Arabidopsis thaliana: one gene and its partner. The protein of the gene in region 1 interacts with the protein of each later gene in a biochemical or structural test. Each region holds a gene or a part of one and is shown in the gene's direction. Other genes may lie near its edges.

Region 1 (3,753 bases):
TTAGCCTCATATTAGTTTACATATTTTAATGAAAATACTCTTGAGTCGACATAATTCTACTGTTTATGTGCGAAAAGAATTTGTCGATGGACAGTGTTCTCGTGCTCATGGTGATGGACAAAAAACTTGTAAAAGTATTTTTTCAATTTTTTTCCTCTTTTTGCAAACTTTCACAAGTTTTCCAATAGATTTCACAAGTTTTTCCAAAACAAAAGAAACGAAGGAAACTTGTTGTTGATACCATACATTGTTTTAAAAAAAAAAAATCAAGCATAGCCGAATTTGTTAACGTAGTAATATAACAATTTATTTAGCAAGTTTTTTAAAAAAATTTATAAGGTTTTTAAATCTCACGATCTGTAAATTAAATGAGCTTTTATAGATATGAACATATTTCAGCCCAAATATTAGAGAAAGATGACATTTCATTTGAGCTTATGAAAATGAGCATATTTTGGTCTGTAAAATTACAGTGTTACTCTTATTCTTCCTTTCTTCTTCCTTCTGTGACGTCGATTTTGGATTTTTTTTCTGTTTCTTCCAAAACCTTCATTGATCTTCTTCCTTCTTCTATACCTTTTGAACCCAATAAATCCAATTATATGCATGTTGCTAAAAGAAATATAAACCCTAAGAGGATGATATATATAGGGAACCCAAATGTTTCAATCTTATACACATATTAAATCAGTTACATATTTGAGAATTCAATTGAATCAACCTTTTCAATTACATGTTTAACAAGGAAGACAAACAAAGAGAATCAAAGATTTAATAAAATCTACACACATGTTGATGGGTAATTTAATTGTTTCTTTGATTGAATTATGGGAAAGGTTGTGTAGAAGAAGAAGAGGACAACATAGACGAGAAAAACAAATTAATTGCTAATAATACGAAGAGTAAAATCGTCAATACAAGAGAGAGAAGTACATAATTGCATAGACACATGATTTTGTGCATGTATCAACAACGACATATACTTTTAAGTGCTTTATTCATAATTGATCCGTAAATTAATTGTTACATAATCTTTCGAAAACTTCCATAACTTTTTTAGAACATTTTTTTTATCTGTCAAAGCTAGAAACATTAATGTGTTCAAACCATTATTGATATTCTTCATTGCCAATAGCCAATTTATGTTTATATTTAAATTCTAAATCCTGAAATGTAAGCTCTAATTCTAAATTCCAAATAAACACTCTGACAGGCCAGCAAAATTCCAAATACTTTAGTAAATATCCACCTACAAAATAAATTTCAAATCGGAAACAATAACTCCCACGGGCCAGCATAATTCTCAGTACAGAATCTTGTCTGTCTCATATTGAAACTTTCTCTTAAGAATAAGATAGACTAAAAAGCATGACTAGCTCTGTAAATGTGATTAATTAATAACCTAAGATTGTTGATTAAGATAAAACATAAAGTTTTAATCAAAAAGTTTGTTAGAGGCGCGCCTATGGAGCGTACAATTGTGTCTTAAAAAAAAAGGTTAAGCCACCAAAATAACAAAAAAGAATAATAATTTTTTTGAAATACGACGAAAGCCACATGCCTTGAACCAAAGTTACCGTTGTCTGAATATGAACCAAACTTAGAAGTAAATCGTTCCCTCATGATCCAACGGTTATATTCTAAATTCTAATCCTAGCCGTTCCTTTTTTAAAATTAAAAACTCAACACTTTTTTTTATTTTGTTTGTATCTTCCTCTTTTGCTTATTTCATCCCCTTCTTCAGATTCTCTTCGTTTAATGCTCTTCTTCTTCTACTCTCTTTGTGGGTTTCTCTTGTAATAATCACAAACCAAAAAAAAAAATGGTTAACTCATGCGAGAACAAAATCTTCGTTAAACCCACTTCAACGACGATTCTTCAAGGTAGTAGATGAATTTGTCGAGTAATATACGAGAATTTCGAGGTGTTTTACAGTTTGCGTAGGAGAATTCTGACAGAATGTGTTGTGTTCTTTTCTGGTTTTGTTTAGATGAAACAAGAAGTAGAAAATTCGGACAAGAGATGAAGAGGGAGAAGAGAAGAGTGTTGCGTGTGATTAACCAGAATCTCGCTGGTGCAAGAGTTTATCCTTGTGTTGTCAACAAGAGAGGAAGCTTATTGTCTAAGTAAATTTAACAAAATCTCTAATCTCTCACAAGTTAGTGTTTTTTTTCAATCTGATTGTGCTTATGGGTTTTGATTGATTTGAATCAGTAAGCAAGAAGAAGAAGAAGGATGTCAAAAGAAGAAGTTTGATTCTTTGCGTCCTTCAGTTACAAGGTACATAAAGCTTGAATCTTTCATTTCGTTTTTTGACTTTAAAGAAAGAAAGATCTGAGTTTGTTTTTGAATCTGCAGATCTGGAGTTGAGGAAGAGACTAACAAGAAGCTGAAGCCCTCAGTTCCAAGTGCTAACGACTTCGGTGATTGTATATTTATTGATGAGGAGGAAGCTACATTGGACCTTCCAATGCCAATGTCGCTTGAGAAACCATACATTGAAGCTGATCCAATGGTAACAACAACAAAACAGAATTCAGAATTTTGTTGATGGATTTAATTCATAAATCAATGATTTACAAGAAAATTTTGATTGGATAGGAAGAAGTTGAGATGGAGGATGTAACAGTGGAAGAACCGATCGTGGATATCGATGTCTTAGACTCGAAGAACTCGCTTGCGGCTGTTGAATATGTTCAAGATCTTTACGCATTTTACAGAACAATGGAGGTAAATTATGGTTTAGTTTTATCTGTTTTTGAAGTAATAAGTGGCTTGAGAGCTTCTTTAAGACAGTTCTTGATTTGAATTTGCAGAGATTTAGTTGTGTTCCAGTAGACTATATGATGCAACAAATCGACTTAAACGAGAAGATGAGAGCAATACTAATCGACTGGTTAATCGAGGTATATTATCAACAACATTCCACATTGTACTGTGTAGTTTGATAGAGGCTAAAGATGCTTGAGTACGTTTTCAGGTACATGACAAGTTTGATCTGATAAACGAGACACTGTTTCTGACAGTGAATCTGATAGATAGATTCTTGTCCAAGCAAAATGTTATGAGAAAGAAGCTTCAGCTTGTAGGGTTAGTAGCTTTGCTGTTAGCTTGTAAGTATGAGGAGGTTTCGGTTCCTGTTGTCGAAGATTTAGTACTCATTTCGGACAAAGCGTATACGAGGAACGATGTTCTAGAGATGGTAAAGGCCTGGCTTCTTTACTTAATAGAAAAAGTAATCTTGTCTCATATATGTTAAAGACATTCTTTGATTAAATGATTTCTTTCTTCTTTACAGGAGAAAACAATGTTGAGTACTTTGCAATTCAATATCTCGTTACCGACACAATACCCGTTCTTGAAAAGATTCCTCAAGGCAGCTCAAGCAGACAAGAAGGTTAGTTAAAAATAATGGACTTATGAATCAGTTTAACTAGAAGTTTGAATTTTAGAAAGGAACTAACTGTGAAACTGAAAACAAAACAGTGTGAGGTCTTGGCGTCGTTCTTGATCGAGCTTGCCCTTGTGGAGTACGAGATGCTTCGGTTTCCACCATCATTACTAGCTGCCACATCTGTGTACACTGCTCAATGTACACTTGATGGTTCCAGGAAATGGAACAGTACATGTGAATTCCATTGTCATTACTCTGAAGACCAGCTCATGTAAGTCTCTCTCTTTTTACCAAGAATGGTCCTTTAAGTCCATAAACAAAACTATTTGCAGGAAAAAAGACTGATCTTTTTAATTGTA
Region 2 (3,753 bases), on another chromosome or scaffold:
ATCTAAGCTCACAATATTTGACATCATAAAACAAATCTGTGATGCTGTTCAAGCAAGAGCCGAACAAGGTCTGATAACTAAAACGAGCTTTTGGTATGTTGGAAGTGATGTCTTTTGCTTGTTCCCTAACTTTATTGATAAACTGTCTATTTGTATCAGACAAAAATCATGGAGTCATCCTAATTCCTGAAGGGCTTGTTGAGAGTATTCCTGAACTCTATGCTCTGTTGAAGGTAACGATTCAATACTGGCAAACATTTCTATTTATCATTTAATGTGCTATTTTTTATTGTTTCTTGAGTTCCAAAACATAGTAAGCATTTACATGTTGTTGTGCGATGCAGGAAATTCATGGATTGCTTAAGGAGGGTGTGCAGGTTGATAATATTTCTACTCAGTTGTCATCTTGGTCATCTGCTTTGTTTGAGTTTTTGCCTCCATTCATTAAGAAACAGGTTCTAATTCTTTGACATGGTACTTTTCTTTGTTTTTTCTCACATGTAAACGAGTATGTGTTCTTATGATAAATTGTCTTCTTTGTTTCTGCAGCTACTTCTCCATCCCGAGTCTGATGATTCTGCTCAGCTATCCCAGGTAAGAAGAAAGAAAATGATGGAGTTACTGTGCTATAAAAAGTTGGAATTCTAATTGCTCATTTACTTTCTTCTTAGATTGAGACGGAGAAACTTCTGGCTTATCTTGTGGAGACTGAAATGAACAAGCGCTTGGTATGTTGCACATCTTTTTCACTTGTCACAATCCATTTTTTTCAAATTTTTTTGAATAACCTTGCCTGAATATTCAAGTTGTCCCTAAAACTAAGTTTTGAAAATGACAGAAAGAAGGAACCTACAAAGGGAAGAAATTCAACGCTATCTGTCACTTTTTTGGTTACCAAGCTCGTGGATCTCTTCCATCAAAATTCGATTGTGACTACGCCTATGTATGTGATCGCCAAACTAAAATGCTATTGCAACTTCAATATTATGGACATTCACACCATTGATTATAACTTTGATGCAGGTTCTTGGACATGTATGTTACCACATCCTCGCAGCTGGTTTGAATGGTTACATGGCGACAGTGACTAACCTGAAGAGTCCTGTAAACAAATGGAAATGCGGGGCTGCGCCTATCTCAGTTGAGTTTTGTCTCTTATTTATAAGGCTAAAGTTGTTTAGTATATGTGTTGATTTCTGACTTCAAGTTTCAGTTTTACTGACCCCAATCTCTTTCTCTGTTTAACCTTAGGCAATGATGACGGTTAAGCGTTGGTCCCAAAATTCTGGTTCTACTACGATTGGTAGACCTGTAATTCATCCAGCTTCAGTTGACTTGAAAGGAAAAGCATACGAGTAAGCTTTTGTTCCTCACTCATTAGACAAAGATTAGAATGAACATGAAATCAAGTGATATAATTTGTCAAATGATTTTGCAGTCTATTGAGACAAAACGCGCAGAAATTCTTGATGGAAGATATGTACCGAAACCCAGGACCAGTCCAGTATGATGGTCCAGGTGCAGATGCAAAGGCGGTAAGTCTGTGTGTAGAAGACCAGGATTACATGGGGAAAATCAAGAAGCTGCAGGAGTATCTTGATCAGGTGAGGACGATTGTGAAACCGGGTTGCTCTCAAGATGTTTTGAAAGCGGCATTGAGTGTTATGGCCTCGGTGACTGATGTTCTCACTACGATCTCATCTTCTTCCACCAGCGGTCAGCAATTTGCTTAAAGATTTTTTTATTGTTTTGGTTTTCCCTTTAACCATAAACTTCATTAGCTCTCTCTCTCTCTCTCTCTTTCCATTTTGAAGTCGTCTTCTGATTTACGCAAACTTTATTGTTCAAAGTTGAGTTTAGGAAAAGGATATTCAAAGTTAAAGGATTTGAGTAATGCTTTTTTAATGAAGAAGTCTGTGTTTGGGTTCACTAATCTTCTTGTTGCCTTCTCGATCATAATTTGTATATGGTGCGACCAAATCAAAGTACCTACGGATATATATGACAAGTGGACACAAATGAATAAATGTAAAAATTAAAATTAAATACTATAGTACGTGGCAAATTAAAAAAAGGCGTTTATGAAAAGACCGCTCCTCCACGCTCCAGTTTGAATTTCGAAAAATCAGTCCGTTGTGAAAGCCCAAGAATAAGGATTCTATAATTTCAGGTCTCATTTAATTATATAACCTATCTACACTTTGATCTCCGACAATTCACTTTCCCAATAAGAACCAACTGAGAGAGAGAGAGCGCCGGAGAAGAAGAATTTTAGAGAGCGATGGACGAGGGAGTTATAGCAGTTTCCGCCATGGATGCTTTCGAGAAGCTTGAGAAAGTTGGTGAAGGGACATACGGGAAAGTTTACAGAGCCAGAGAGAAAGCTACCGGGAAAATCGTCGCTCTAAAGAAGACGCGTCTCCATGAGGACGAAGAAGGCGTTCCTTCCACCACTCTCCGCGAGATCTCCATTTTGCGAATGCTCGCTCGTGATCCTCACGTCGTCAGGTTAGGGTTTTACCTCTGATTCGATAAAATTGCCCCCATATTCTCGATCTTGTAGTCGCGTTAGGGTTTATATAGTCGATTTCTCACTATCTCGCTTGTTTTCCAGATTAGATAGATCTCAATTTCAAATCGTAGTAATCAGTTCGAAGAGTCTACTAATTGTTAGATGATTTGGCTCTGAGAAACTGTTGATAGATGTTTCCCTAGAGTTTGATCTGGATCGCTGTATCAGTTAGTTTTCCAGTGATTGCAAAATCAATTATATACGGAAACTTTATTTGTCATCTTTTTCAGGTTAATGGATGTTAAGCAAGGACTAAGCAAAGAAGGCAAAACTGTACTGTACCTGGTTTTTGAATACATGGACACTGATGTCAAGAAATTCATCAGAAGTTTCCGTAGCACTGGCAAGAACATTCCAACCCAAACTATCAAGGTTTTTAACCACCTTATTACTGTCATCTCTCTTTCTCGCTTCATTTGTGCTCACTTGAACCAAACATAACATTCTGAAAAGTTATTTGCAGAGCTTGATGTATCAACTATGCAAAGGTATGGCATTCTGCCATGGTCACGGGATATTGCACAGGTGAATTGTTCTCTGGCTTTCCCTTGTTTTCAACTTCTAAGTGAGAATGATTTTAGATAATAACTTGGAAGAGAGATTTCTTCTTCTTACTATTTCTCCTTGTTTCAAAACAGAGATCTCAAGCCTCACAATCTCTTGATGGATCCCAAGACAATGAGGCTCAAAATAGCAGATCTTGGTTTAGCCAGAGCCTTCACTCTGCCAATGAAGAAGTATACCCATGAGGTAATCAATGTTTGACACTGCTTCTTGCACTTATCCCACTTTGTATGTATTGTAGAACTTATGGTTTTGAATCGGTTGTTCATTGCAACAGATATTAACTCTTTGGTATAGAGCTCCAGAGGTTCTTCTTGGTGCCACCCATTACTCTACAGCTGTGGATATGTGGTCTGTTGGCTGCATATTTGGTATGTGTTCTTTTCAGACTCGTTGATTTCACTAGTCACTGCGATATCATCTTAAGTTACTAAACAACAACAATTAACATTGTTCCTTCACCATTTACAGCTGAACTTGTGACCAACCAAGCAATCTTTCAGGGAGACTCTGAGCTCCAACAGCTCCTCCATATTTTCAAGTAAGTCTTTGTTGATTCTTCACCTTTTACATGACAAACATAAGAAAACCTTTTTTCATTTTGCCGCTCTTTCCGG

The links. Proteins that work in one complex are often made in the same cells at the same time.
Region 2: the proteins of CYCB2;1 (region 1) and CDKB2;1 form a complex in vitro, tested with the Arabidopsis thaliana proteins (one study listed by BioGRID).

The regions. Positions count from the first base shown.
Region 1 is NC_003071.7:7,662,342-7,666,094, forward strand, and holds the start of CYCB2;1 (Cyclin B2;1), read left to right. Parts: upstream 1-1,713; 5' UTR 1,714-1,822; coding exon 1,823-1,883; intron 1,884-1,990; coding exon 1,991-2,126; intron 2,127-2,214; coding exon 2,215-2,280; intron 2,281-2,358; coding exon 2,359-2,515; intron 2,516-2,601; coding exon 2,602-2,730; intron 2,731-2,816; coding exon 2,817-2,906; intron 2,907-2,980; coding exon 2,981-3,202; intron 3,203-3,298; coding exon 3,299-3,397; intron 3,398-3,486; coding exon 3,487-3,665; intron 3,666-3,753.
Region 2 is NC_003070.9:28,720,880-28,724,632, reverse strand, and holds the start of CDKB2;1 (cyclin-dependent kinase B2;1), read left to right. Parts: upstream 1-2,082; 5' UTR 2,083-2,281; coding exon 2,282-2,508; intron 2,509-2,802; coding exon 2,803-2,944; intron 2,945-3,035; coding exon 3,036-3,097; intron 3,098-3,210; coding exon 3,211-3,322; intron 3,323-3,413; coding exon 3,414-3,507; intron 3,508-3,607; coding exon 3,608-3,677; intron 3,678-3,753. Other genes in the region: AT1G76550 (Phosphofructokinase family protein), read left to right, coding at 1-68, 160-233, 345-455, 550-594, 672-728, 839-943, 1,024-1,140, 1,252-1,355 and 1 more.